3 linked regions of the Lepisosteus oculatus genome follow. The protein of the gene in region 1 purifies or fractionates together with the protein of each later gene. This does not show direct contact. Links are inferred from orthologs where the notes say so. Each region holds a gene or a part of one and is shown in the gene's direction. Other genes may lie near its edges. The genes, in order: mad2l1bp, mad1l1 and lbr.

Evidence for each region.
Region 2: the proteins of mad2l1bp (region 1) and mad1l1 purify together in Homo sapiens (co-immunoprecipitation; 4 studies listed by BioGRID and IntAct, with this or other methods). This does not show direct contact. The link is inferred for Lepisosteus oculatus from reciprocal best matches to the Homo sapiens genes MAD2L1BP and MAD1L1.
Region 3: the proteins of mad2l1bp (region 1) and lbr purify together in Homo sapiens (co-immunoprecipitation; 3 studies listed by BioGRID and IntAct, counting the BioPlex papers as one, with this or other methods). This does not show direct contact. The link is inferred for Lepisosteus oculatus from reciprocal best matches to the Homo sapiens genes MAD2L1BP and LBR.

The regions. Positions count from the first base shown.
Region 1 is NC_090712.1:640,563-650,561, reverse strand, and holds mad2l1bp (MAD2L1-binding protein), read left to right. Parts: upstream 1-5,825; 5' UTR 5,826-6,039; coding exon 6,040-6,292; intron 6,293-6,907; coding exon 6,908-7,170; intron 7,171-7,300; coding exon 7,301-7,819; 3' UTR 7,820-7,943; downstream 7,944-9,999. Other genes in the region: gtpbp2b (GTP-binding protein 2b), read right to left, coding at 1,067-1,261; ephx5 (epoxide hydrolase 1), read right to left, coding at 8,521-8,731, 9,151-9,276, 9,602-9,710. UniProt on the Homo sapiens protein: May function to silence the spindle checkpoint and allow mitosis to proceed through anaphase by binding MAD2L1 after it has become dissociated from the MAD2L1-CDC20 complex.
Region 2 is NC_090714.1:1,966,360-1,976,685, reverse strand, and holds the start of mad1l1 (mitotic spindle assembly checkpoint protein MAD1), read left to right. Parts: upstream 1-5,214; 5' UTR 5,215-5,580; intron 5,581-6,108; 5' UTR 6,109-6,144; coding exon 6,145-6,291; intron 6,292-7,608; coding exon 7,609-7,749; intron 7,750-10,292; coding exon 10,293-10,326. Other genes in the region: nudt1 (oxidized purine nucleoside triphosphate hydrolase), read right to left, coding at 1-45, 639-784, 1,612-1,763; mrm2 (rRNA methyltransferase 2, mitochondrial), read left to right, coding at 3,558-3,843, 4,324-4,748. UniProt on the Homo sapiens protein: Component of the spindle-assembly checkpoint that prevents the onset of anaphase until all chromosomes are properly aligned at the metaphase plate.
Region 3 is NC_090697.1:58,796,728-58,807,464, forward strand, and holds the start of lbr (delta(14)-sterol reductase LBR), read left to right. Parts: upstream 1-5,729; 5' UTR 5,730-6,066; intron 6,067-9,390; 5' UTR 9,391-9,404; coding exon 9,405-9,569; intron 9,570-10,737. UniProt on the Homo sapiens protein: Catalyzes the reduction of the C14-unsaturated bond of lanosterol, as part of the metabolic pathway leading to cholesterol biosynthesis.

The DNA.
Region 1 (9,999 bases):
CTGGCCAAATTTCCCATTGGCCCTTACCAATCATGGCCTCCAAATAATCCCCATCTATGAACTGGCTTCATTACTCTGCTCTCCTCCCCACTGAGAGCTGGTGTGTGGTGAGTGTTCTGGCGCACTATGGCTGCCGTCACATCGTCCAGGTGGGGCTGCACAGTGGTGATGGTGGAGGGGATCCCCATTACCTGTAAAGCGCTTTGTGTGGAGTGTCCAGAAAGCGCTATATAAGTGTAAGCAATTATTATTATTACGCAGTCTTATATCAGCTAGGTCATTAAGAGTTTGCTTCATACTGCCTGACTAAACTGCTCTTAACATGTGACCGACTTAAGATGAACACACACAGGTGAGAGTGACACTGTGTCAGATTCTCCTTGTATCACTGTGTCAGTGTCTTTTCTTCTGCCTCAGTCCAGATGAATATCAGAAATCAAAATAAATTTGCTAGTGATTAAGAACCCAGCTGGAAAAAAAACAGCAGACACACAGGAGTAATCCGGGACCAGGGCTAAGAACCACAACATTACCATAACGCCAAAGCACAACAACAGACAACTAACAAACTACAAAACGTGATAAACAGCTGTATAGCTATTATTGTAGTATTACAACAGAAAAAAACAACTATATAACACAACAACAACAAGGACACAGAAAACATCTGTCAGCTGACTGTCCACAATCAGACAATCAAACAACCTTCTCTCTTCCGTCCTGTGCCCTGACAGCACTCTCTCCCTCTATTGGTTCACTTAGCGAAAAAAAAATAATAGTAGTTGATACTATGACTACTGTCGTCTTAATGTTCATTCCTAACCACATCTCAGGGCTGTTATTCTGAGTTAACCCCAACCTCACGGGTTTAAAACGCTCAAGCCCAGCCAGCTGCCTTCCTGTTTGTAAATTACATGCATTTGTAACATCGCGGGAGCTCGTATCTGCTCATCCGAAACAGAAAGCAAGTCTGGAACACGAACTGCGGCTCAGCACAAACATGCTGCAGTCCGGACGGGTTCTGACTGGGTCCGAGACCCGGTCTCCGCTCGCTCCGCGGTCTCACCTCCGGGGGCAGGTACGGCGGGTTGTTGCTGGGCTTCGTGCTTCTGCTCGCCCGGTTCTTCGCTTTCTTGCCGTTTTTCGAGGTCGACTTTTTGGACATCATCCCGAACCCGTTCCCCGAACCGGCAGCCAGTCCCTGCGAGCCCGACTTCAAGCCGGAGCCGGTACCGAAGAGCTCCGCCATCCGCGAGTCCATCTTGCGGCCGCGGCCTCTCTCCTCCCCCTCAGATGCGTCGCGGCTCTTTCGACTTCCGAAAACCGGGACAGCGCCGGTAACGCATCTGCTGGGCTACAGAGAGGGAATAAAAACAAAAACACTGCACCCCCTCTGCACCCGAAAACGATACCTCAGCACTGAGCTCACTGAAGCGGATATACGTCAAGGCTGATGACAGAGAGGGAAATATTTTCGATGACGTTCACTGAATATTCATGAGGAACCAAAAGTGGGCTGGGATTTCAATCCAGTCTCTCCTCCTATTGGCTGTGACTCACATCAGAATCCCCGCCCACGGAAGAGGGCATGTCTGCGCTCGACTCTTGCCTGTCTTTGCATCAGCGACGGGTGAGGTTAGAGGTGAAGAATGTCAAATGAAGCCACCAATATTGTTGTCCTCATTGTGAAACTACTCCTAGGTTGCAAATGCCAAAACATGTTTTCTTAGTTCAACAAAAACAAAAACCATGGCCGGCCCAAGCTCCCTGCGGGCACTAGGCAAGGTCTTGGAAAGGGGCCTCCCTTATTCATGATTTGCACAGACATTACTAGTATCAGCTCCCAACACAACCTTGTTTTACTGTTTAGAACCATTAAATAAATTAATTATTTAACTGGAAAACGTACTGTTCAACTTTGAAGAGCACATAATATGTTACAGACAAGAACAAGAAGCATACATTTTACAAAGATAACAGGCCAAGCAAATGGGAGCATCCAAAAAAATGTTCTATAAATCATTCGACTAGATTTTCGGGAGGCAAAATCATCAATTGCATCTTCATGCCATAGTAGTCGACCCACAGCGTGACTGATGCTCATGATGGCCTTGTGCCAAGGCTGACCTCAGGAGTGTTTTAATCATCTTGAGCTCTGAGCAGCTCCTCTCTGCTCCTGCCACTGTCACTGGGAGAGAGACTGCAATCTGAAGGGCTACAGGTTGGGTTCACGATACCCCCATTCATTGAAATACAGCAGAAACCCCAAGGAAAACAAATATGTTTTAACTCTGATCACGTATAAACACTGAACAGTTTTTTGTACTGCGCATTCACCTTCAAGCTTTTGTTTGGCCTAGCAGCACTGATTTTTAGCCAGGTATCCCACACAGCTTGTGTACAATTAGAGAAACATGAATCTGTTAACTTCAAGTAAAACACCTCTCGTAGTCTACATCTTGATCTTGAAAATGTGGTTCGTCTACTATTTGCTACTAACATGGATCTGATAGACTCAAAAGCAAATGAAATCCAAATTACATTATCATGCAAATGATGTATTATTAAAATGATTGGAGCGTACCTCTGTTTTGAGATCGCTTATCCTGCTCTTCTTTTCTGCGCTTCAGAAACTTATTTGGTTATTGGTTATGATTGGTTATTTTTTGAGCGGGCTTCCATTAGGATTATCCACATGGAAATGTTTCCATGGAGATCCTTATCAGTGATCACTGAATATTCATGAGGAACCAAAAGTGGGCTGGGTTCTTAACCCAATCTCTCCTCCTATTGGCTACAACTCAAATCAGAATCCCCGCCCACAGAAGAGGGGATGTCTATGCTTGACTCTTGCCTGTCTTTGCGTCAGCAATGGGTGAGGTTAGAGGTGAAGAATATCAAATGAAGCCAGCAATATTGTTGTCCTCATTGTGAAACTACTCCTAGGTTGCAAACGCCAACATGTTTTCTTAGTTCAACAAAAAAATACTTGCAGGCCCTAGGCAAGGTCTTGGACAGCAGACTCCCCTGATCACGATTTGCACAGACACTACAAGTATCAGCTACAAATACAACACAACAACAGCAGCAACAGAAAGTGCCACACTAGGGAATTTTTCACTCACAAATTGAACATGCTGAGTAAAAAAAATGTTGTGTTGCACATTAAGGGGGATCCCTGATTGCTCTAGACAGTCTCCTAGTTTGCCCGTGCCCACACAACATACTGTAGTGATCTCAGGATCACAGGATCTCATCCAGCTGTGTCTTGGGAGAAGCCAGGCTATCATCTTCAGAAACATGACAGAGTATCCTGTTCCCTACTCTCACAACTCTTTTTGTCATTAGACACCTCAGGATGTTGTCTGTGGAAGTGTAACATTTTTCTTCTTTGAATCGGGGCTGCAGTAGAGCAAATCTCTATCAGGTTCTTTGACTTGGCAATGAAGTACTGAACTGAACCGTAAAGAAATGTCTCCTGTTCTTGGTTTTAAATGCACTCCTACCTAGTTTCCACTTGTGTCCTGTGGTTTGTGTTTCGCTGTTCCACTGGGCTGGAGTTCATTTCAGGATTTTGAATATTTGTATTAGGTATTCTCTGTACAAGCCTAGAAATATTTAGGTCCTTTTGCCCGACAGTGCAGGACATTCCTTTGAGTTCAGGAATGTATGTGGTTACTCTATTCTGGGCTGATTGCAGAGCAACAATTTTATAACACACAGATAACAGTTGTATACAACATGCTAAATTAGGTCTTTCTGGTACATCAAGTCAAGTCAAAGTCAAGTCAAAGTTTATTTATCAAATGCACAACAATACAGCGTGCAGCAGTAGTTGCTGGCAATGAAATGTCTTTTTCTGCGAGCTCACAAAAATCACAAAATTCACAAAAACACAAAAATCACAAAACTGAGGTTACATTTTTGAAATTGAATAAAACTCAATATGAGTAGAGCTGTTATGTTTCCATGGTGTATGCAATATATACATGTAGTGCAGTTATGCTGAATACAGTGAAAACTGTGTGTCCATGTAGCCATTACAGGTGATCTGATAAAGGAGCTGCAGATTGGCTATTTCGCAGTTTTATTGCCTGGAGGTAGAAGCTGTTCCGTAGTCCGTTGGACTTGGACCGAATGCTTTGGTACCGTTTACCAGACAGTAGGAGGGAAAACAGTTTGTGACTGGGATGACTGGGGTCCTTGAGAATGGACCTGGCCTTCTTCAGACATCTAGCTGAGTAGATCTCCTGGATGCTTGGTAGCTCACAGCTGGTGATAAGCTGCGCTGACTTCACCACCCTCTGCAGTACTTTGCGATCCCGGGCGGAGCAGTTCCCATACCAGACAGTGATGCAACCAGTCAGGATGCTCTCAATGGTGCACCTGTAGAAGTTGGCCTGGATATGTGACGGCATGCTGAACTTCTTTAGCCTGCGGAGAAAGAACAGGCGCTGCCGTGCTGTCCTGACCACGGTGTTGGTGTGGTGGGTCCAGGTTAAGTCCTCTGAAATGTTAACTCCCAGGAACTTAAAACTGCTGACCCTCTCCACTGCAGTCCCATTGATGTAAATAGGTGTGTGGTCTCCTCCCTGATGTTTCCTATAGTCCACAATCATCTCCTTTGTCTTACTGATGTTAAGAGAGAGGTTGTTCTCCTGGCACCATGCTGTCAGGGTTTCAACCTCCTCCCTGTATGCATTGTACAATTTCGACAAAAAAAACCTTGATACAAATTAATTTTGTCTTAAGGTGTGTTCTGTATCTTAGTAAGATCACTTTATTAGCCATATAAAGTTTCTTGCATTAGGAATTCATCTTTCACAAACCCCAGCCTGCTCTCCATGAGACACACAGACAGGGAGAGAAGCTTGGGGTCAGAGTGCAGGGTCAGCCATTTATACGGCGCCCCTGGAGCAGCTGGGGTGAAGGGTCTTGCTCAGGGGCCCAACGGAGTAGGATTCCTCTGCCAGCCACGGGACTTGAACCAGCAACCTTCCAGCCACAGGCGCAGATCCTGAGCCACAGAGCCACCACTCCGCCCTGTACATTTGCTGCACTACGTGTCTTAACACTGAGGATATCCATAAGCATAACTGGTAATATTGAGATTTACTCTTCTGCTCTCTATGTCTGCATGACAATTGTGGAGTCCTGATGACTAGTAAAGACAGTGAAAACGTTGACTGTGTGCGCCCAGAGAAATTAAAGTATTAAAGGTGGACAGTGTCTCAGACAGTGGAAGACTGCTGCCGCCTTGTGGTCAGGCGTGAGATAGACCTGAAGACCAGCGGCATGACATCTTTATTCGTGAAAGATAAGAAAGATGAAGTCCACAGCGGCTCGTCGATTGGAGCTCAGCCCGGTTTCCAGCGAGTTAAGCGGACGAGAGAGCACGTGACTCCCCTCCGTGTAGGAATTATCCCCCAACTTATTATTACACAACTGGGTGAACTGGAGCAAATGGGGTACAGTATCTCACTCAAGGCACACCAGCAGCGCCTGCAGCAGGGACTCGAACCCGCAACCTGCCGCTGTTGTGTTCAAACCCAATAGGTTATACCGCTCCCTTATTCAAGATTCAAGAAGAGCGAGCAGAAAATAAAACAATCTTAATAATAAAGCCGCACGCCGAGGTGACCAGGCGTCAGGAATGTTTTTTACATTTTACCTTTCAGCGGCATCCGGGGCTACGGCACTTTTCGACAGAGGGCAATGAGATCTTATTTGTGTGCCAGAGTAATTAAGGAAGTGTACTGTACAGTCTAGGCGGTGTCCGACATTAAGACGTCGGCGTATGCCTCAGCAGCTGGACTGCCGCTGGTGCAGCTGCGCAGACTGTAGGGCTCGGCAGTCCGTCTGACGTACAGGAAGTGACGCGTTTTTAAAAACCTGAAAGAGATTTAAAAAATAACAATACAAAACCAAATCAAATATACGATTAAAATTAAGAGCGCACGGCACGGCCGGGGCTGAGTTTTGCGCTGGGGCTGTGAGGAGCCCCGTGCTGTCAGACCCGACTTCCTGCGGGCTCCCGTGATGCCGCAGCCGCGGCGGCGGATTCAAACCGAGCCGGGGCTGAGGCTGAGGATGGCGGAGCAGCGGCGGCCGGGCAGCCCGGTGACGGTGTACCGGGACCCGGAGCCCCTGGACCAGAGGATGGCGGTGCTGGACATCGGTGCGGCAGTTACGTCGGAAAACACAGACGTCTCCTTGCCTGGCAAGACGGGAGCGGGCGGCCGCGGCGAGGAGGAGAAGGAGAACCGGCTTCCCGGGCCGGGCCAGGCCGCAGGTGCGCTCGGCGGTGCCGCCCCGGCTGGACAGGGGCCTCCGCTGGCCCAGACACCTCGCGTGTCCTGTATCAGGAATAGGAATCCAGCTAGATTAATAGTAATCATTTAATTGGGTTAAGAAGTTCATTTCCGAAAGAACTACATAAGCATATTAAATATTTTACTACTTTAAACATGTTTGTGGTTTGTGTGGGCATTCAGTATACAGACCTACGTTTTTGTGTACTGTAGCCTAGACGGCTGTACTTTTGAGATTAAATTTGTCATTAAAACGCTCCTGACAGTTTGGTCTAGGCGTCACTGATTGCCCGCACTAGAGAATAGGTGGGTGTTGTTGTCCAACTGTCTGATGTTTCACACGTGGGAGCTCTTTAGGATGAATAATTTACAGCTTTTCAGACCTGGGCGAGCTGAAGCCCCCAGGTGTGTATTTCCAGCACAAATCAAGTTCTGGTTGAGCTGATCTGGAATGGTCTTCCAGGTTAGTGTGGGTTACTGAGCTCCTGTGTTTTACAACAGTGTAGGACTGTCCAGTGTTGTTTTCCTCCTCTGTGCATGTGGTGTAGAAAATTAAATCCCTGACAGGAGGATTTTCCGCTGTGATTTCCTTTCAGTTTTAGTGGAAGTCGACACTGCGACTGGGGGGTCAGCCGGCTGCCCTCGGTGTGTGGACGCCCCGGCCAGAGGCTCTGGGCCTCGCGCGCAGGCGGAGGACGGCCGTGTGTGCGTGGTGTTCCGCGGTGCCGTTGCCCACACCAGCTGCTGCAGGTTTGCCTGCGAGCTGCTCAAGTTCGTGCTGTACGAGCGCCAGCAGCTGCCCGCGCCCTACGACCAGCTCCTGCTGCTGCAGGAGGCGACAGCGCCGGCGGGCCGCCAGGTGAGCTGGGCGCCCGCACTCCTGTGGGCACGGACACGCGGGCCTGGCTCGCTATCGGGACTCCGGGCGGTGCACGGAGCAAGAGTACAGGAAGCGCCGCTCAGGTCTGACCTCTGCCCTTCCTCTGCAGGGCGCCCTCCGCAGGCCCATGAAGACGGGCGGCCTGGACGGCCGGCGCTGTCAACAGACGCTGCGGGAGCTGAAGGAGGTGCTGCAGAACCTGGAGGTGCTGTTCTCCCTCACCCTGGTGCCCCGCGTGCTGCTGCTCCTGGGGGGCAACGTCATGGCGCCCAAGGAGCTGTTCGAGATCGATCTGGAGGCCCTGGTCCTGGGCGAGGAGGCTGGCAGCCTGGGCACGGCCGCATGCCTGCGTCAGCTTTTCCACACCCTCTTCGTGGCGGACGTCCTGTTCAAGCCGCAGCCCAGGAGCCTGGTGGCCACCACGGTCATGGTGCTGGGCCACCGGGACTGCGGCGTGGGCTGGTTCCGGCCCAGGCAGGACTACACGGTGCCCACCAGGGCGAAGAGGCAGGTGATCGCTCTGTCCTCCGACACGCACCCCCCCACCCCCGCCCAGGGCGAACAGCGGGACTGGGAGGATTATATCTGGTTCCAGGCGCCTGTGGTCATCAAGGGGTTTTGCAAATGAGAGACAATGGGGTGAGAGCCAGACGAGATACGCGTTACACTAAGCGATGTGGCAAAATAAAGTTGGGCATGAGTCAGCATGGGACTGTGGGGGTTATCCGCACAGGGAGAAAGCCCCCCTTTCCTGCTTTTTACCTCTGCGGAGCCTCCTCATGGTCAGTGCGGGAGGCCATCGGTGCTGTTTTTTTAACTTGTAAGTTGTGTGGATGTCTTTCAATTCTAATGTAAATTCGTTTAAAGTATTAAAGTTTTAAAGAATGCAGCACAGGAAGTGAGATTTTCCTTCCCTAATGATGTGGAAATTCATTGAAGGTTACAGCAGCAGCCGTCAGTTTCATTGCTGTTGGAAGCTTTTTATTGTGGAGAAGGAGTAGACCTGATGGTTTTTCCATGGGCCTTCTCTAAAGTTTAGATTAAATCTGCTGTAAAGTGCCTTTCTGAAGAGCTGCAGTTTAGTGTGTTGTCAGATTGTGTTAAACTCTTAATCTAAACATCATGTCACCTTTCACAATTAGTGCTAATTTAGAATCCCCTTCAGCAGTATCACAAGCCCATTGTGGAGAACCCAGTCTATCAGGTTTAGATGCCTCATACAATCTCATTGATCTGAACTAACAAAGCCAATTAGTGGTCAGTAAGTAACAGATCTCAAAATCAGAACATGCAGCAGTGCTCCAGGACCAGGCCAGCAGGATCCTCCTCTTAATTTTTTTCAATTTTCTCCACTTTCTTTGCGAACTCGCGGAAGTCGTCGGTAAGCAGCTCTGGCTCCTCGAAGGCGGCGAAGTGCCCCCCCCGGGGCATGTAGGAGTAGGAGACGATGTTCTTGTAGCGCCACCTTGCCCAGGACCGCGGGCAGTGCAGGAGCTCGTGGGGAAAGGCCGCCAGGCCGGTGGGAACGTACACGCCCACCCTGCCAAAACACGCAGGCCAGGGACGGTGTTAAAACAGGCCTTGATTTTAGCATCAGACCCACTGCTGTCTCCCCAGCACTGCAGCTCCCTGCTAGAGCTGTTCCACACCTGTTTAACCCAGACGAGCACCGTGGCCAGGAGCCCTACTGAATACCTGGACAGAGGCGGAAGTCAGACATGACCCACTAGTCTGCCTCAACCTGCCTCAGCCTCTACCCAGTGAGGCCCTGCCGGGAGCCTGCACAGCGCCAACAGGAGAGGGAAGTAACAGCTTCCCTGCGCTGTTATGAAGGTTTTGAAGTTGCATCCTCCAAGCATGATTTATCTAATTGGGAACCAAAGGGAGAGGAGGCCAGAAACTGAAAGGAGTAACCCTGTAAAGACCCCTTGTTCAGGGTGTCCAGGAAAGTGATCTCACCTGGCATCCACCCTCTTGTGAATGTTCTCCTTCAGGTTCTCTTTGTAAAACCGCATCGAAGGCACAATGGAGCCTGTGGTCCAATACAACATGACGTTCGTCAAGAGATCATCGAGGAAAAACTTCCTGGAAGAAAAGGCGGATCTCCTGTGAACAAACCACCTCGTGTCCTGCTGCTGTCCCCGCCGGGTCACACAGCTCTTGAAACTCGTTCCTAAGCAGAGGCGGGTCCCGGAGCAACTGCAGTATTTCCAGTGCTGGTTTATACCTGCTGCACACAGCACTGGTCCCCAAGGTCTTAGCTCTACCAGTTCTGTGCTCTTAGCATTTTGAAAACAAATTATTAAAATGTTCAAATATACATTAATTTCACAGTCTATGTAGAGAGAGGTCAGCATTTTATTTATTCCAGTCCCTGGAGGGGGTTTTGGGAGCAGCAAGAGGTTCTTACCTCTCCAGCCCCCCGTCCTCCAGGCCTCTGTGCTGGAAGTCTGTCCAGGTGGAGAACTTCTCCAGGATGTAGGCAGCCAGGCCCACAGGGGAGTCGTTCAGCCCACAGCCTGCAGGGGGGAGACACAGCCCCTCTGAGCTCTGGTGAGTAGCAGACCAGCTGCATTTCAGAGCCCAGTGTTCTCCCAGATCATTTTCATCCCAGTTTAACATTAACTGGGCTAATATCGGCTGACTGCTCACGTTCTTCATTTCCAGATTTTTAATTCCCCTATTTTAATTTACATTTTTATACAGCAGACGTGAGGCCTTTTCTAATTCAGTTAATCAAAGTAAGATATAAAACAGGTGTTTTGATGTAGTGAAAAGTTTTGGATTTGTCTTTTCCTGAATATGGGT
Region 2 (10,326 bases), on another chromosome or scaffold:
GATCAAAGGGGATTCTGTCCCGGTCAAACCACTGTGGTCGCATTTCTTAAACACAAACAATACACAAACACATACAATAACACTTTAAAACTTTAAAAATTCACAAAATGAACAATTAGTGAATAAGATAACACATAGTCAGCGTTTCTGCATAGGCAGAGCCGAAAAGCTAAAAACAAAGCTTAGTGACATTTTGTATTAATCTTAGTACTTAATACTAATCTTAGTATTATTTGTTATTGTATTATCAACATGTACATTATATCCCTGCACTAGGGTTTTCTTTTAAAAAAGCTGCCTCCTGATCAAGATTTGGAAATAGTAACGTGTTCAAAACCTACGCACAGTAGAGTTTCACTGACTTTTCTCAACCTATCAACATCGTTCATAATGCCAACAAACATAGCTTTGAAAGGAAGCAGATATCTGAAGGAATTTTACATCAAAGTAATTTTACTTACAGAATCTCTCCTGGACTTGACTTACAGTGCATGGCGACGATGATTGAATTTGATCACATTGCCATACCAGAAAGAACAGTCCAGATTACAATTCTTTATGTTTTTAATGGAAAAAAAGGCAAATTCAGGTACAGGGCTTTAGACTGCAGACAAATGCGTCCGATAATAAAATCTCACCATCCGATTCGGCTGGCTCTCCGTGGAAGCTGTCAGCCCTGAAAATATGAACATCCAGCAGTTCCGTTTCTCCGACAAACTCGAATTTGATTTCTCCAATCTTCTCGAGGGTGTCAGCTGTTAGGCTGCTCTCCTCCAGCAACTCCCTGACAAAGCAATACCGTCCATTATGCTCCAGTGCAGGGAAAAAAAATAATGCTAGTTGTCACTGCAGAGCCACTAAAATTGAAATGTGTCTCACTTCTCAATTTAAATGTTTAAACAAAATTCTCTTTCCAGCAATGGGAAACCAATTTTTAGCAGCCGACATTATCTTGCATTCAGCACAAGATCTAAGTTAATGCAGTTTAATAACGTAGGTTAATGATGTCAAGCTTACACTGCGGATGCCCAGCCCTGGTCCTGAAAGGTCAGTGCGTCTGTGTATTTTTATTCTGGCTTGAAAACCAGCTGACACGCCAGCCCTCCATAACCAAAACTGGACAGCTCAAGTGCAGAGGTACTGTATGTGGTTGTACACACATCTGGAAATCAATTGTGCTGAAACGGTAGGTACACTATCGGAAGATAGGTCTTTGGTAGTTTTTATCACTACCAAGCACGACCCATCTGATTCAGGCTTCTGCTGGCATTTTAGTGGGGCATTATTTCATTAGACATTTTAAGGTAAATTTAAGATCATGAATGTTTACTGATGCTTTACCAATCGTGAATTCAAATGAACCAAATTAAGTGTACGTAATATTTAGTGGCTCAACTATAAGTTCTGCACTGAGGGATCACTGTTTTATTCCTACGCCCCCCCCAAAAACACTTCTAAAACATATGTACCTTTTGTTGTATTTCAAATAGTTCATATTTTAAAAAAATAAACTTAAGCTTAAACTGAAATGTTTGTGGGTTTACCATATTTGGGTTTCGCTTATTTGAATACCTTCTGTGGGGTATGAGGCTTCCTCGTGACTGGACTCACCGCTTCGCTGCTTGCTCGATTGTCTCTCCCGGCTGAACTTTGCCCCCAAAGCCGTTCCACTTCCCTGCGCCAAAACCACGCTTCTTCATGCCCAGGAGAACCCGCTGAGGCTGTACCACCATGACCAGGGTCAACAGCTTGGTAGTGATCATTGCGCTGCTGCAGGGAAGGACACACACACGACTGAATCCCTCTCCGCGCTCTAATGTCACGGGAGAGACAGTGACCAGGATCACACTCTCATGTCAAGCACCTGACTAAACACCTGTGGAAAGATTACTGTATGAACGCCGCTGACCCCCAGACGTTGCGCAGTGTGCAAATGGACAAATTGGGGACTTAATTTTGGAAGCGCTCGTGCACACGGACACAAACTTTAAGTTCATAAAAAAGGCATTTGTTTCAGGGCACAAGCCCTCGGACAGAAGCCCTTCAGCTGTTCAGAAAGACACCAGCTCTGCCGGTTCCATTGCTTTATGACGGCTGCAGGTCTGCGGTCTGAAATCCTGAAACAATTGTTTTAAAAACAACAGTTAACACTTGCATACCATATTATCACATTTATTCTTCAAAATTTATTTGAACACTACAGTTCAGACTACTCCAAGTTATATATGTCCATACAGTATATATGACATTTTCAAATTACTTCTATGGAATGTACTTGATTCTGAACAGTGAGATACTGCATTGCGTGATATTATTTAGCACACTACTTTATGCCTCAAAACTGATTATTTTTCACAGTTTGTACGGTAAGGTGCCGTGATCATTGCCGGGACAATTGCTCTGAAAACAGATTGGCCAGACAACGTACAAATTCCCAGAAAAACGTTAATTAAGTTTTAGTGTAACAAGAACAATGTCACTGTGCTGTATTTGCATAGCCTGCTCTGTACATTTCTCGACACCGCATTCATTCACATCTCAATACAGTTAACTTCTTTTGTCACAGTAATTGCCTTCCTAACTACTATAGACGTCACCAGCTCCGGATAATACAAGTACATCCTTGCATATAGTCAGATAATTTTCTATGGACATGCATGAGCAATCTGAAAGTGACCTAAAGGCTAAAAAAAAGTGAATTGATTAAACAGAACAAGTCTCATACCCAAGAACGATACCATCTAAAGTATGTGTGAACAATAGCAGCAGATGCACATTCAGTAACTCTGCAACAGCTGCCTCTTCCCTCGAAAGTCAGTCCAGCGGGTAGCCACACACATGACTCCCCAGCTCACTGTAGGCGTGCCACCCTGAAACCTGTCCGACTGGAAACACGGGGAGGACGTGCGGGAGGTCATATGTGACGGAAGCGTGTTCATCCTTAATGTTTACGAGTACTATCAAGGTCCCTTTTTAAACGTGCTTTCAGAGAAAAGGTGACATTTTGCAACTTTTAACGTAAAGGCTTCATGTAGTTTTAATTATCGATGTTATTCATAACTTCGTTCTACCGCTTTTGTACGGATTCAAAAATCTCAATGCAGCCCGGTGCTATTCCTGAATTGGTTGTAGTGTAATATAATTTGCAACCAATAATTAGTAACCCACTAGCATCTCAGATTAAGTGATTGCATTTTCCCCTCAAAATGAAAGTGTCTGAGGTCTGCTAGTCCTACCCTCTAAAACTTAAGCGGTTCAGTAACAAATTAGGACTCGTTTGACATGACAGGTCGGTTCAGTGGGTCTTGCAGAAATGAAGCTGAGGTTCGTATTAGGAATGGACCTCAGCCTTTTGGATTAAAACCATTTGTTTTGATCAAGTAGATCAATAGAAAAAAAGGCTGAAATCAGCCCTGCTTTGAATAAAGAGTTGATGTGTAGCTCAGTGGTATGAAACTTTACCGTACAGTCACGGCATTGTACACTCTATACGTACAAAGTTTGATCAGCGACCCTGCGCGTTTTGGACTTGTTGCGATGTGTTTCCTCTCCCAGGGATGCTGCGCAGGGCTCTGCACGCCTCGGCTCGGTGCTGGAGGAAGAGCCCACACAACACGAAAGGCAAGAGCGCTCCGGAGCAGCGATGGATCGCCAGGCAGATCAACGACCCGTATGTGAAGGCCGCCCGCCGGGAGAGCTACCGCTGCCGGAGCGCCTTCAAGCTGCTGGAGATCGACGACCAGCACCGCATCCTCAGGCCGGGGCTCCGCGTCATTGACTGCGGCGCAGCGCCGGGGGCGTGGAGCCAGGTCGCCGTCGAGAGGGTGAACTCGTCGGGGGCAGGTGAGCGCATGTTTGGTGTGTTTTAAATTGGGGTCTGACTGCAGCCCAACACAACATCGTCTTACATTACAAGCGCACACCCTGTGTAGTTTCGGTGAACTGGATGAGATGGGGTTAGGGCTTGGCAGCTTCCATAAGGATCAGGGCAGATGGGAGTTTAGCACTTAAGACGGCCTTGAAGCCAGCATGCACCTCGGTTACGTCAGCACCAAACTGGACCGTCCTGGCGCTGCAGGTTTTGTGGGGCTCTTCAAAGACGCAGCAGCTGACGAGCTGGGAGAAACTGTTCAGTTGGCCCAGTGTAGGCAGGTAGCTAGTCACCGCCTGGTTTAGCTCGTGAGGCGCTGGCTTGGAATGAAAGCACCCAGACACACCGGCCCCCCAGGACTTGAGTTGCCCACCCCCGCATTAGAAGCTCTGTGTACATGAACACGGATGAGACTGGTTCAGCTTGTAGTGCTGCCTTCTCCCTTGTTTCAGATCCCGGATTGCCGGCGGGCTTTGTCGTCGGAGTCGACCTCCTGCGGCTCGCGCCCCTGGACGGAGCGCACTTCCTCTCCCCGTGCGACGTGACGGACGCGGCCACTCCTGCCCGCCTGCAGGAGCTTCTCCCGGCCTCCGTGGCCGACGTCATCCTGAGCGACATGGCGCCCAACGCCAGCGGCTTCAGGGAGCTGGACCACGAGAGGCTGGTCGGCATGTGTCTCTCCCTGGTGGACATGGCCGAGGGGGTCCTGCGTCCGGGAGGCACTCTGCTGTGTAAAGTCTGGGACGGAGGACTGGCCCATCAGCTCCACAAGAAGCTGGCGCAGGCCTTCAAGGAAGTCAGGACCATAAAGCCTAAAGCCAGCAGGAAGGAGTCCGCCGAGCTGTTTTTCCTGGCCAAGAGTTACAAGGACAAATGATTGTTAGCATTTTCCTCCAGTTTTTTCAATTGTTTAAAAAACTGGAGTTTTGTGAGATTACAATTGGGAAAAAAACTTCAAAATGATGTGCACTTTATCCCAAGGCCAGCAAGAGACGTTGCCAAAATTGAGAATGAAAAACAAACAAACAAACATGAGTTTAACATTTCATTGCTGCAGACACACTGTAAGGGCCTAAACACGAGACACTGTAAAGCCTTAAATCTTGGTTTCTTGGGTTTTATTTTATAAACAGATGATGAACCTATTGTTAACGCAATGTAATTTTATTTGAAGTGACAAAAACGTGTTCGGTTTCACTGGACTTGACATCATGACCTTTGTATTAAACTACAGTACGTACTTCTTTCTGTAACGTATTGCAGGCCTGTGATTTATGGTGTTTGTTTGTGTGTGTGTGTGAAGAGCAGAGTTTTATACATTTCAAAAATAAAACAAGGATTAGATTTGTGCAGTTGGTGAATGGAGAATGATATGGACTAAAAGGAGATCCATGCTATAAACTCCCCATTTGTATTTTGTTGTTTTAATATATAATGTTTCCCCAACTAAGAAGAAATAAACCGAGTACTGCCATCCAGTAATAGTAATAAATACATGTTTTAGGGTCTGGGCAGCATTTATTACATTTGAACCACTGCAAATTTCAGAAATCCTATAAAAATGGTGAGGGTGACTAGGTATTACGGTAAACGATCATATCCTTTAAGCCCCGCTATTATATTCGTTACGCTCAAGCATCTAGGAACTCTCGCGAGAAGGTAGATCTGTTCTGGGTTGGAGGAGGGAGATCCAAGCAGTAAGGAATAAGGTATCATCGAAAATTGCGTGTTCTCAAAAATGTTACATGTTTTTGACATGGTCGTGTTTTTTTGTAAAGTAATATGAGTTGTGCTTAGACAGCTGAAATTTTGGTTTATTACATGGATGCATGTTTTGGAAATTTGGTTGACCCAAACAGTTGTGCATATATAGTTTAAGTTTTCTTGTGTACAGTACTCGTGTGCAACACACTGGCCAAGCAAATGCAAACTTCAGCTTGCTTTTCACGTGCCTTTATCGCAAACATTAAGATATTAAACCGTTAAAATCCACTTTATTGCACGAGTGAAGTCATTTGGAAAGCTTAATGATGACCTTCGACAATACTACGAAAACATTGCTTGGAAATCTGTTCCTGCTTTTATTAAAAAAAGGATACTGAGCATAATGGAGCAGTCATAACACGATTTATAAACATAAACAACATTTTGAAACTTTGTTGAGGGTTGTTTGCTTTGCAAGCGGTAGCGGTGAGAGCTTGGCGGACACTTTTCAGGTGCGTTTCTTTGCCTTCCAGATTGTTTTCTAAAGAAAAAAGTAAAACCAGTTCAAAATGGACAACATGCAGGACAATACCACCGTCTTCAACACTTTAAAGTCATTTGAGAGTTTCCTCTCGCAACATGACGCTTCAACGAGCCAGCCTGAAACCAGCGCGAGTAAAAGTGACCTGCAATTCCAGTACAACTACCAGTTTAAGGTGAGTACAGTTCTCTAGATAAGCATTTGAGCTCAGCCATGCAAGATGCATACAGTGAGCTTATTAGATTGTGCACGATTACAAAATTAAAATGCATGATTCTCAAGAAATCAAATATTATTTAACTATTTGGTCTGAAATGTTTTTTTTTTTAGTAACAATGTTAGATCAACACACCTTTGGACAGTATGTTACATTGATTGTTTTTTTAAAAAAACATTACTGATTTTTACATCAGTAAAGACTTTCTCTGCATTGTAAGTAATGGAATTAATTTATCTTACTTTGCCATGGGGAAATTATTTAATGTAGATTTGGTATGAAGGTTCTTCATACCAGTTTCAAATTGGTGTCTGGTGTTAAGAGAGCTGTTTGGATTCTCTTGAGTGCTGTTAAAAATCCACATTTTCAGCCTCACTATTAAGAGCAATCTATATGTTACTGCGAAAAGCAGTTAATAAAACTGTATTTTTGTGAAAGTACTATATAGTATAAGCCAGTTCAGTAGCAGATCAGTCTCAATCTTAATCGAGACATTAATTAAACTATAACCTCTCATTCGGCGTCAAGTCAACCAATGTCCCGGAGAATCCCTGGCTCGGGATTTTGCATTTTCTTTGTATCATGGACGGTAGAAGTTTTCATTCAAGTAAAATGAAACTAATGCACATACAGAAAGTGAAAACAGTGTAACATTGGAAACAGTGTTTCCGTGATTGAATCAAGTAGATCCACAAAGACAAGGAGTCCAACCAAATGAAAACTTAACGAAAGTATAAACACAAACGTTGAACTGGACACATCTCACTGGTTGGCCGGTCTCGACTCCCAGTCAGGCCACAGCGAGAGAACAACAGTCTGGCACGACGCTGTCGTCCCCTGCAAGCTACTGCAGTAATGTCCCCACAACCGGCGTTCACGCGTGCAGCAGAGACATCTGATCACGTGGCCCGTGATCATGAACCTTTCACCTCCACGCAGACAACAGCTCCTCTCTGGGGTTGAGGCAGGGGGAACGGGGTGGAAATTCCATGGCCGTGCGCTGGCAGGTAGCGAGCCATTCGCTGAATGAAGCAGGGTGGAGAAAGCTGACTTTATCCCACACCACTACTCAGTTTGGCACATCAGCCATCACCACCTCTCTCCGATGACCAGGTATAAGACTGTTGCACAGTGCATCCAAGAAAACTAGCACATGGCCTGTGCTGTAGGGCTCAGTGTTGGGGATGTGGGCACTAACACCATCACCTGATACAGCAGTGCACACAGTTATATTAACAGCTTGTAACAGCTGTGTGACTATCGATGTATTTCTAGGTGGAAGAGGAAGCTCAGAAAATCTTCTCCAAGACCCATCTTTTACAAATGGCCCAAGAGAAGTCGCAGATGGAGTTCAGTCACAAACGTGCCCGCATTGAGCTGGAAAAAGCAGCCCACACCAGTGCCAGGGACTTGGAGGTGAGCCCTGAAGATGCAGTTCTGATCTCTGTGTTTCATTCCGCCAGGGGGTCTTAAACACAATTCTGCATGGTGGTCGCTCTCAAAGTTCAGCTTTGTATCTTCTGGTTTTTGTTCTGTGGTCTCAGATACTGTCATTTCACACTCGGGTCCAAGTTGTTTTATTGCTAATTCTACTTTTAAGAAAAGGACTGCTCTGTGTAATCACCTGTAAAACAAAAATCTGCTGTATATTTAAGATAATTACGTGAAGATGGGCAGTAGGACCTGAGTCTGAATAGAATGAAAGTAGAAATTCACAGAAAGGTTGTCTATCTTTCATGCTGTGTTTTCTTTTTCTCTGACTCCATGACATGAAAAATTGTTCAGAAACAAGCCATGCAAAGAACTGGAGATGGGGAATACAGAGTATTGTTTTTGCTATATAAATGTATATAATCGTTCTGCCATGCATGCCTTGCTGCACTTTGAAGAATAGAGCGTTTGAGATTGTTTGGTATATCAGAGCCCCCACCTGAGGAGATAATTACTTTAAAAATCCTGAACCCTGAGTAGGAAATTGCAGAGAACGATATTTATAGTTTTTTTCAAAAAAGAGACGAGTGTTGTAGGTGCATCTGAATTATTATTTCTTCCTTCACAAATAGCTCAGTTTGTTACAATTCAGTACATTTGAAATGTCAAACAGTTTCTGCTATTATCGGCCTGCCTGTATCACGTATTTTAGTAGTGTCCATTATATGTGGCTTTCCTTTTTAATTCACAGATTTTTTTGTGGGCTTAATTCATAATTTTGATCAATTTTGTGCCATCACGTCATATAGATGGTTTTCAACGGTGGATATTTGTATGCGTGCCCCTTAGGGTTACTTCAAAGGAGCTTAGGGGGCAGGCAGAGTAAAGGTACAAAAATACGCACATCATCAGGATTGTTTGGTTTTGTGTTATTTTCATGGAAGACATGTGATTATGGGCCGTATAGTGGCGCGGTGGTTAACATTGCTGCCTCTCAGCACTCGGGCCCTGGGTTCAGTTCCGTACCTGGGGTGCTGTCTGCGTGGAGTTTGCATGTTGTCCCTGTGCTCGTGTCCCACAGTCCAAAGACATGCTGGTACAGTAGGTTAACTGGCCTCTTGGGAAACTGGGCCTGGTGTGAGCGAGTGAGTCTGTGTGATGGACTGGTGTCTAGTCCAGGGTGTATCCTGCCTTAGTTGCACCTGTTTGCTTGCCGGGATAGACTCAGTACTGATCAGGGCACTGTAGAAAATGGATGGATGTATAATTGTACATTTTATAATTTCATTAATCTATTGTACAGTATTTTGAAATGACTTTACAAAGCCAATTGGAAACAGACCTTGACTGTTCTGTACCTGAATATTTCTGAATGGTGGCTCAAGTGAAAGTCTGATATCACATTGTTAGAAAGCACATAAAATTGGAAAAACAAATTAATTATCACCATTAAGCCATGTTGGTAATGAGCAAGTAGAAAAGGTTAAAAAGATAGCATTGTTTCAGACAATACCCTTATTGGAAGGATAAATGGGAACTTGAGGCACAAGTGTTTGAAAGATTGCAACAGCATCTGCATTTCGGGTAAATGAAACGAAAGACCCTGGAAACCAGGTTGAACTACGATGAATCCGTTACATTTGGGAAAGAAAGAGATTTTCTGTTGTCTTGCAGTGCCACCAGACATGTTTGAAGTGCTGTAGGAGTGAGTGGCATTTTGTGGGATGCGCTGGTGTGGGTAACCTTCAGCACAAATGGAACAAGGCTAGTGATGGCTGGTAAAATTAGGAGGAGTGCAGGAATAGAACAGGTGGTACCAAATGTTGTTTCATCCCGATACATGGAGAAGCACATGGAGAAGTCCCATTTTGAACTGCTTTACTCTCTGTTGTCCATTTTACCTACCTAAAAACTGGGCCACTGGCTTTTCTGCAACAGAGTGGGTTCAAAGTGCTACTTCCCACTGCGTTCTGTAGTTTCCCGGCTCTCCTCTGGGTCTCTGTTAAGAAGGGTGCTTGATCTGCGAGTGGGGCTCCCCTCGGATCATGATTCTGCCCCGGTGGCTTATTTCAAAGATCCTGAATGGAGTGCAGACTTTGCAGGCTGAGCATCAGTGTGCGGGGACCAGACACATCTGTAAAAACGTGCTGAGCTAGACTGTGAATGTTTACTTTTAAAGGTAAGTGTATGTGAGGAGTCTGAAATTTAAATCCATGCCCATATAATGATGTGCCCTGTCAATTCTATATAGTAACACTTCTCATGAGCAGGCGTTGGTTTCTTAACTTTGTTAGGTGACATTCAGGAAATGAAAAGTAAAAAAGAATAAATTAAGAACTAATGTTACATTGCAAAGCGGAAAAAAGGTATATGAGACCTTCAGATAACCTGAATGAACTCGCTGGTTTCTTGCTTTGCAGTTGTGTGTTTGTGTGAGAGCAGCGGTCAGGCTGGCCTGTGCTGTATGTGGAGGCGTGTCGAGTGGCTCACCTGGGCTGTTCTGTTAATCTGCCTGTGGCTCTGTCTAGCGCGAAGTGGACCGTAACCAAGACCTGCTCGCGC
Region 3 (10,737 bases), on another chromosome or scaffold:
TACAGTTTTTATCTGTAGATATGTTAAATATACATCTTCTGAAAAATGAAGAATTATAAAACATAAGCCTGATCTAATGATCAAACTTTCAAATGCATATGATGGTGGTATCACAGACCATAGCCCTCACTGATCCTGGACTGCTTGATTCTGTTTTTGTCAAAATAGTACAGGACTATTGCTAATCAGAGTCTATGAACCTGTCATGGTTGTAATTTACAAGTAGATATGAGGTACTGTATGGTAAAGAATGTATACTGCATAAATGCTGTGTTACAAAATAAGGCCAAAAATGTTTTCAAGTAATCTTCTAGTCAATAACTAACTTCAGATTCATTTTGAGGGCCATTGGTGATGACCTCTTTCAAGTTAGTTCTATCTATCCATCCATTTTAACGGCTTTATCCAATAGGATTGTGGGGAAGTTGGAACTTATCCTGACGAGCAATGGGCGCAATATATTGATACTCTTGACAGGACACCAATTCATTGCAGGGCACACTTAGACAAAAAAATGTATGTACACACTCACATTAGGGCTTTTTTTTCCCAGAACCCAGTTAAACAACCAGTGTGTCTTTGGAATGTAGGAGGAAACCTGAGCACCTGGAGGAACCCCACACAAACAGTGAGAACATGCAAACTCCACACTGGTAGCAGTTCAGGAATTGAACCCAGGGCCCCAATGCTGTGAGACAGCAATGCTAACCACTGGCCACCCAGGTTATGTTAACTCTTTTACAAATATATACAGCTAAACCAATCTGATTTACAGGAAATTATTAGACTGCACTTTTGACCACTTTCAAATAACAAACAGGTCTCCTTCCCCTGAGGGGATACAAAACATTTTTGAGCTATAATTGCCTATTCCCTAAAGTGTTCAGGTTTGTCTGTAGTAGAAGAATTGGTCATTGATTTGCAGGTTATTGATTAAAACCAACCATTTTATTTCAAATGCCTTCACTGGCATTTTGTGTAATTTATAAGGTAATGTCATTCTGAGATTACTGGCTGTAACTGAAGATAATATCTTTTCCTTTGATCTTAAACTCTGTGTTCATGTTATCAGATGAGGATCAGTAAATAAATGAGGATTTATTTTGAGGATCAGTCTTTAGATGATTTTAGTTAAAGCCCTCTAGCAGTAAAAAGGCACACCCAAAGAAGGCTCCACAGCCGAAAGGTTGTGTTTTCTTTCTTCTCTTTTCAGCATGGAATAAACCTATTACTTGTTCCAATGTACATGTACAAGTGTTATGATTTAAATAATTTTAAATTAATTAATACTTGTTTAAAAACTTGTGAAACTTAACATAAAATTACAGAGCAGCCTTTGAACATTAAGATTTTTTACAGACACTGTACTAATAAGGTAAGAGATAAAAATCATTTTTAATTCTAAAAGCATGTTACAGATATTCAGTTAGCTAACGGAGTCACTGCATGCTGTAAGAAGCTTAGTCAGTTGGCTCAAGATTAATTGGACACTTTGTATTTTCCGGTTGCTTTGAAACTTAAATGAATACACAAATGGAGCCTCAATGCCTTGCTATATTAACATTGTCATTAAATAGCTGTTCTCTTGCCTCCTGGACGTAGATGATACATCATCTCATCTCATCTCAGCCCATGGACATTCAATGGGCTCAAATCTAGTGTGTAGGGCATGCACAGCAGAGCTGTCACATTCTCATTGTGCATGAAAGCTTTTGTTTAGATGAGCTGCATGAGGACGTCCTTTGTCTTGTTGGAATGTTCACGTCAGCATGGGCTGCAAATGATGGACTTGATCAATGTTTTGCATCCCATCCATCCATCCACCCCCTTCATCCAATTCAGGGTCAACAGGGGAGTTGGAGCCTATGCCGACAAGCAACTGGCAGGATACACCCTGGATGGGATGCCAGCCACTCGCAAGGCACAAACACTCACCCCAGGGCCAATTGAACCAGCGCTATGTGTTTGGACTGTGGGAGAAAACTGAAGCATCCAGAGGGAACATACAAATCTTTAAAGAAGTGTTTCCTAATCCTAGGTTTAATGCCACAGTGTCATGCCGAGATGTTGGTTTAACTTAATTATTACGTGAACTAATACTGTAATTTGTTTAACAGGAAACGTTTCATTGTGTTCAGGTCTTAGATGGGTAGATATTTCAATTTATGAATTATACAAGCATATGAACAACTTGAAGGTTGCAACTGCTTAGCACCTGAAACTATAAATACTGTAATCTCTAATTGGAAATCTGCTGTATGGTTCTCAATTGCATAAGCTTTAATTAAGCCATTCCAGAAATGTACATGTATTTCCTACTTGAAATAGACCCGATTGCAAAATCACTGGGCATTCAGAGAAAAATACACTTAGTTTTTTTGGCTGCCCCCAAGAAATGTCAGGACTTTTCACCAATTTGGAATAAATTTCTTCCTCTTCCTGACAGGTTCTCAGCCCATACCTACCTGCCTGTGACAGACATGTTTTGACAATGTCCTGTTACAGAGTGCTTCAGGGGGTCTGTGAGTAATGTGATTTCAGATGTGACTGGTGTGAAGGAAATCCAGAAGACTTTCCTGGGTTAATGTGCTGTACTCTTATTGCCATTTAACAATGGTAACAGTGGTATCTGAAAAATGTAAGCACAAGCCAATGAGGAAAGAAATCGAGAAATATAATATGCAGCTGTTATATTTCAACGGTTGCGCCTTAATCAGGAAATAAACAAAAGCACTGTTCATGAACGCTCTGCTGTAGAAGCATCCGTTTGTTCAACAGGTGTTCTAAATTCATGCTCTACAATAACCAGCATTATATATTTAAAATCCAATCATAGCCTTGTGCAAGGAAGTGCATTTTTTGTGCAGGCTTAACATTAATTAACACAAAACATAATTGCTGTTTCAATTGCGTCTCTACAGTATATTCACATATTTTTTCAAAATAATCTGCTTTCCAACAAGTTAAGCTTTGCAATACAGCTGAAGCTTGATACAACAGGTAAAGGGCAACAGCTGATATTAAATTCTTTCTTTTTGACGTGCTTTCATAGTAAAAACATGTTTCTCAGGAAACTTCTCAAAGTTGAGCCAGAAAAGTGCATTGGGGGGGGGATGTTTTTCTAAGTGGAAAATCTAGGGGCTTCAGCAATGGATTCCTCTTGAGAGATTCCTTAAGCACTTCCTCACAGTCTGTTTTGAGAATATCGTCTTAAAACACATTATTGAGCAAATAGGCATCTAAACAATCAACATGTAGATGGAACTTCAGACAAAACCGGGACACACCAGTATTATGTAGAATACATACCGTATTAACAGTTCCTTGGACTGGATGGTATTTAACAGGTAAGTATTATACAATGGAACAAGTAATAGGTTTATTCCATGCTGAAAAGAGAAGAAAACACAACATTTGGACCATGACCAAAACCTTGTGTTTTCTTTCTTCTCTTTTTTAAAGCATGGAATAAAACCTATTACTTGTTCCTTTGCAGCCTTCGCATGCTGACGCAGCTACCCACCTGAACTAGTATAATACAATGCTGTTGTCTATACTGTATATATTAAGAGACATTAAAACGCAACAAGTGTCATTGCTTTTGATACACATTTTTACTGCTTCACTCTATATAGAAATACATGTTGTATTAAAGTTAGTAACACTCAGGAAATCTCAACATACATTCATTTTCTAACTGTTTCTTTCAAGGTTTGCAGGGGAGCTGGAACCAAACCGGGCAAACAATCGGCACAAGACAGGGCACACCATAGACAGGACATTAGGCCATCACAAGACAGACACACTCACACCTAGGGCCAATTTTCCCAGAAGCCGGTTAACTTACCGGGATGTTGTTTTTGTTTTTGGAAAAGCAGAGCACCCAGAGAAAATCTACACTCCAGACAGATAGCAAACTAAGTCTGCACCATCATGCTGCCCAGATTCTCCACAATCAGGTGACAAAGAAGTTTCAATAAAAATATTTTCTTAAACTTAAGCTTTTTTTCTCACACAATTTCCTTATACTGTACATTTCTTACACTAAACTAAAACGTGCATTTTAGACACATATCGGTAGCATTTTACAACACCCACATTGGACATTGTCCTTAATTTAACTGTTAATCTTGAGTTGAGATTAGGAAGTAGTGCACTGAGGCATGAATGACATGGCAGCACTTTCAATGGTTTATTTCTTCACATGTTCCTCCTAACTGTAACAGCTGTGACTTGAGTGCACGGTAGAAGGTTACATACCTATATTATATCTGCCTTCTTTAGAGTTTTTTTAAGAATGTCAGAGCTGATGCATACCTCATGCTCCATTCTTTCATTTGATTGGACACATCCCCTTTGTGTAGTACTGTGTTTTTAACCGCTCCAAATATCGTTTTCCAAGATGATTCAGCTCCTGATAAGCCCACTATAGTCTGTGCATATTTATGTATTCACCTAAACAGGTCGGAAAACAGACCCTTTTATGTTTACCAGTATCATGTGATCACACTACTGTAGGTTGGGTCTATCATTGATCTATTTCTGAAACACGGCAACAAATCTGCAATGTCTGGTATCAAGATGTGTTGTATTGTTTTTTGGCAGAGGAAGGGACTGTATTCTGTGAAAAACAATACGTTTTTACATTACATTCTTTTTGGCAAACTGAGAAAATAAAATGGTATTAACAACGAAACCTGGAAGGAAATTGCATTACATTCCAAATCCTATGCCAAAATAGACAAATCATAAATCATTGATTGTCATAGAACTATAGATGATTTTTTACTGTGAATGTGCTGAAGACAAAACGGAGATATTGATTACCAAGACAGAATCTAAATAATTCCAATAAGAGTTGATGGTGATGAGATCTGAAAAAAAATGGATTTTTTAAACTCGCATTTGACTTTTGCTGCAAAAGCCGGGTTTACAAATCTCAAGTAACGGAATGCCCCCTTTTCACTCCTTCGTTGTCCATTTTTATCTTTCTTTAATGCTGTTAGTGATTTTATAAGGCAAGATAATACATACAGATTAGCTTTTGCTTGTTTTGGTCTAGGCTACTGTAAAACCTCAATTTCCCTTCGCGATCAATAAAGTCTTATTCATCTCTTGTGTTGCGTACACATCTATAACTTTTTTATAAATGGGTATTTGCCTAGACCAAATCATAGCGAAATTACAAGAAACAATAAACCAATTTTAGCGTAATGCTCAAGTGCGTATTAACTGACGTTGCCTATCAGCAGAGCAAAGTTATATCAGAGCTACCTTACTGTGTACGTTAGTTTTAGCTACAAATGGAAATGCACAAATGCTAAAATGTTAAGTAATTGAGCACCTCAGTTTAAAATAATAGGATTTCCCGTTGGTTTCCTGAGTGTGTCGCAACAGACTACGGAACACAAGAGATGAATAAGACTTTATTGATCCCGAAGGGAAATTGAGGTTTTACAGCAGCCTAGCCCAAAACAAGCAAAAACAGACGTATGAATTGGCGAAAAATTAAAATACGTACTGTAATACGAAATAAATAGGTGTGTGCAAAATATGCTCATAATCACTTTAAAAATAAAATACAGATATACAAAATGTGCAACGGTTAATTTACGTATACCTTTTTAAACGAAACCTTTATTTCAGTGGATATCACAAAATCAAAGAAAGTCCGCACGGTTTATTCACTCGGTGATCATGCTCTTAAAAGAGGTAGCAAAAGCCTCTCCGCTCCCGCGCTCCGAACACCACTCTCTACCGCAGCCATTTTGTGTCACTCGCCTAAAAGACTCAAAGAGCTGCAGGACAAGCCGGTTTGTTTGACTTCGCCTTAGCTCCAATCATTGTCGACCCGTGATCCCCGCCTCGCCAATCAGCGTCGCTTGAAATTTTCAAACTCTTTCTGACGGACCAATCAGTAGCCTTCGCGCTATCACCGACGCCAGGGGCTTGCCTGTGAGAGGGAGGTGGAACGTACTGTTTAGACTTATAATTATTAATCGTTTTTAAACTAATTACATCACATATTGGGTCATAATCGCTGATTTCGGTGTACGTGACTCCAAGGTAAGCACACTTCATTTTGTTTTCACTTGGTTAGCAGGCTCTGGATTGCAGTAGTAACTTTTGGGTGTAAATTGCACGCCGATGTTGTTTTGTGGTCGCCTCTTCTGCCTCGGGATCCGTGAAGTGAAAACTGGAGCGAAGGCGCAAAACTCGAACCAGAGATCGCGAAAACCCTTCCAAGTTAACCCTTAAGGGCGAATTTTACATGTGCTGGGTTTAACCTGGTGACTTCTTTACTTTCCGCGCTTTGGTGGCGGTTCTCCCTATTTTAATCCCTGGATTGTGGCAATAAGGTGCCTTTTGTGGTTTATAATAACCATTAGAGTCGTAATAATAACCACAGGGATCGGTCGGTATTTTTTTTTTGGTAAACGTGGTCTTAAGGGCGTTGTTTCTCTCATTTCGCGCGAAAGGCCTAATAACATGTCTGTCTTCTCGTTGTTTTTTTCTGCCTTTTCCAGTTTTTGATTTGACTCTGGCGCCAGTTCATGTTCAGTAACTGGGGGGCGACTCGCACCTGCTCAGATTGTTCTTGCATCGTTTCCTGGCGCTCGGCGCTGCACCACACGCTTTATAACTGGGTTTAAACGCCAGCAATGTTTGAATCGTGACGTTTTCCCTCCACTCCGGTGTCACCCGGTTTGTTGTTTGTTAAAGGAGCCGATACTGTTTCGGGACTTGTTTTCTCCCAACGGTGGAGACTTTAATTTCTGAATATTGTTGCCATTCTCTGACCTGTTACTTGGTGAAACTGAAACGAGAGTCCGTGCCCGTCTTCCACCTTTAATTTATATATATTTACCAAGTGGCCTGCATAATTTATAATGCAGACGCCTTTGTACTGTAATTTAAAGTCATTCGATCTGGTCTTTTTATACAAGATGACAATGTTGCATTTAGTAAAACAAAAACCAAGCAGCAATTAATGCCGTTTTATGTTGCTGTACGTATCCACAACCAAACGTCTCTGTAAAATCGGGGTGCAGCTCTTTTCAGGTTGTTTTTATGTCAGAGGTTAGTTGTTCGGCTCATGTTCACTTCAGTTGAACCCACTACAGCAGGTTTGAGAAAGAGCGGCGCTAAACCGGAATTACGTTGGTGACGCATTTTCATTTCTTGCTTTTAAACACCACCGGGGCATCTCTCTTAGCGCGGCAATGCGAGGTTTCATTTTGCTTAAATGTACAGAGAGATACCAGGACACTGTGAGGCCACATTTCCTGTTTTAAGCGAAATTCTGCGGCGCTGCTCGGGCCTCTGCGCTGTACGTCTAACACAACATTTTGCCGTCTCTTGCGTTTATTGGAACAACGTGGCGGACTTTTAAAGTTTGGGCCGCTTTCAGTGTTCAGTAGTCTGGCCGAGTGGAGAAGAGTCTGCGACCACTAACCTCCAGAGGGCCGCCTGTGGGTTTACTTTCATATAAATAAACTTCACTTCTGTCAGTGCAGCCTGAATTTCTCTCAGGTCGTTAAAATGTGAAATCCTTAAGCCGCCCAGAAGAGACTGGGTTAAAGTAATGTAGTGCGAAGCCCCGCCTCTTAGGCTCCCTTATTCCCAGGCCAGGGCGAGAGGTTTTCCCGGCTGCCGAAGTTGATGATAATAAACGTTATTTTATATAGCGCCTTTAAAGGTGGCTTCTCAAAGCGCTTTACAGGATGACAACAACAATAAATAAGAATAATAATGATCACGGAGGAAAGGGAACAAAAGACTCGGACACCCTTAGATCATGTTCAAAGCTAATAAGCCTGCAAACTGGGCCACTGAGATGAGTATCATTTAAGGGATAGATTGACATGTACCGTACTAAAACTCGCCAAGGCAACCTTATGATTTTTTTTTACTGTTCCTGGTATTATTTATTGTAAGATAAGGTTTTCTATATTACGTATGTAACACCGTTGCGATACCAGCTTTCCCTCTTGAAATGTGACAGCAGTGCTGCTTGTGGCTCTGTCAGTTTCCCCATCTGACCTGCTGTTGGACTGTCCCTGGCAATGAAATAAAGTACAGGATCTCGTTTTCTTACTGGTGCATCCAACTCCTGAAATTCCAGTGCTGTCATACTGGAGTACAGTAGTTATATATTTATTACTTATTCTATGGAATCTTTTAGTTTTGAGTTTTAGACATTTACATTTCTATTATTTGTCTATTCTACTAAAGAAATTTAGTAACTGTGTGACTTACTAATGTGATTTCTATTAATATTTACATATTTAGAATGAATGGCTGCAGTGGAGTGAATTATAAACAATCTGCCACTGTCTTCTCCTGGTGTGTGCATCAGCACTTTTAAATTGCTGATTTTTCTTTTCTTCTTGTTCACTTATGGTCTGTTTAACCTAAAAAGAAACATCAACAAAAGAGGCAGTACTGCTGCAGACATTAAAAAATCAAAGAACATAATTACACATCCCATTACACGCCCCCTTGTGTACAAGGTAACTACATACCAAGGATCAGAGTTGTGTGTTTTTGTATGATTGGATAATTCAGGGAGGTCTGATAAAGGACTTTCAGTAAGTATCTGTATGTTGCTGATTGCTTTGTACAATGGCTATTGACAAAGTGAACAAAAGAAGCAGTATTGAACCGTTTTCAAACGTTCAGAGTAACCACGCTGGGAATAGTTGTCAGCAGTTTGGTGAAAAGCACATTGCTCACAAAACTACTTACATCCTAGCTTTAGTATTTGTTACTACTGTATGAGTACAATGCCTCTTTACTGTTTCTTCTGGGATGTTAATTAACTTGAAAAATACTGTTCCTGTGAATTTTATGTCAAAGTAAAAGATAAATACAAGAAGTACAAGACAGTCCGGGTCTGAAAAGGATTTTGTGGGTTCATAAGAAGTCTGCATTATGTTTGAGTGGGAAGCTGTGTTGATGTGTAGCTCACTTGAAAAAGGCTCAGCAGCTGAATCATACTTCAGAATCACAAGTTCTACCATATTCATAGTTTTAGACATGGTTATTAGATGTCAGAAATGTACAATCCTTAAACAGCTGTTGTCATTTTCCTTCAAATTTAGTGCCATGTGGTTAAAGTATGAAATAAGTTGTATTTCACACTAGATGGGAAAGTTATTGCAACACACTGTTGAGTGTTAGGATTAGTTCATTGTAACATTAATTGTACAAATCCTTATAAATTGCTTACTGTTTTGTGACCTAATCTTCCTTAGAGTATCCAGATAAAAGGAGGCTGTTATATGCATAATTTCCCCTGTTCTGAGAAACTGAGTTCTTCCTATTTTCCAATTTCCAGCTGTGCGCCTTAAATTACTTTATTTTTATTTTTAAATTGTTTGTTTCTAGGTAGGTTTTAGACAATGCCGAGCAGCAAGTTTCAGAGTGGGGAGATGGTGATGGGGCGCTGGCCTGGTAGCAGTCTCTATTATGAGGTGAAGGTGATGAATTTTGATGCTCCCACTGAGCTCTACACGGTGAAGTACAAGGATGGCACTGAACTGGAACTGAAGGAATCTGATATTCGGGTAAGATGTCCTGTGTTCTCTAAAGCCCATTCTCTAAAAGCATTGCTTCTCTAAAGCCCATTGTCTTAAAACATTGCTTAAAGTACTTTGTACGAGTGAGGGGGTTTAGATAAGGCCACAATATGCCACAATTACAAGGTTTTGTTCTTAAAATTAATCTGAATTAGTGCAAAGTCTCGATCTCTGGACATGAGCACTCAAGCTTAAAAAAAGGCACATTGCTAACTATTCAAAAAGATCCAAGCTACAGTGGTGCCCGAATGTTTGCGTACAACGGTTTTTCTTATTGATTATGTAAATCCAACTTAAGAACATAAGTTAGAAAGTTACACATGAGAGAAGGCTCATCTAGTTCACTTGATGGCTAGTAGCTAGGTCACCTAAGCATTTCAAATGTTTTTTGAAACAAGTCAGGGTATCATATTTGACAGCAGTGCAGCAAGGCTGCTCCATACTTCCACCACTCTTTGTATAGAGATGTGCCCCCCTGTTCTCAGGTTCGAATGCACTTAAACACAGCTTCACCGTGTGTCCTGGTTTGTTTTTAACTTGATTCTGGAAAAAATCCTTTGGACTGACTTTGTGAAAGCCTTTTAAGATTTGTTTGGATACTTGAATCAAGTCCCCTCATAGTAATCTCATCTCTGTTCAGCTTTAATAAAGATCTGTTCTTTTAATCTGTCAGTGTAGGAGACTCCTTTAAACCCTTTGTGTAACTGGTTGCTCTCTACTGGACAGATTTCATAGCAATAATATCTTTCTTGTAATATGGTGACTAGGGTTGTACATTTGTTTCTTTATTTATGTAATATGGTTTTACTAGTGCTTTGTACAATTTTAACATAGTATGCTTAAAACTTTAATCCTAATTCTGCACTCCTGACTATATATCCAGATATTTTACTTGGCTTTTTATTGCATCCATAATCCATTTTTGTATTGTTTTCAAGATAAAACATTCTTAAGAAGCACATCAGTCTTTTTCAGAGGTGTCTTCAAGCTCTTATCTACAATCTTTGTATGTGTTATTCTGGTTTGAGCAGTTACACTTTATCTGTACTCCTCTCCTATCTATCAACCAGTTCTTAGTCCAAACACCTGTACTGCCGTGATTGCCCACTGTCAGCAATTTGAGAATTAATCTTCTGTGATTAACTTAATCATAAAA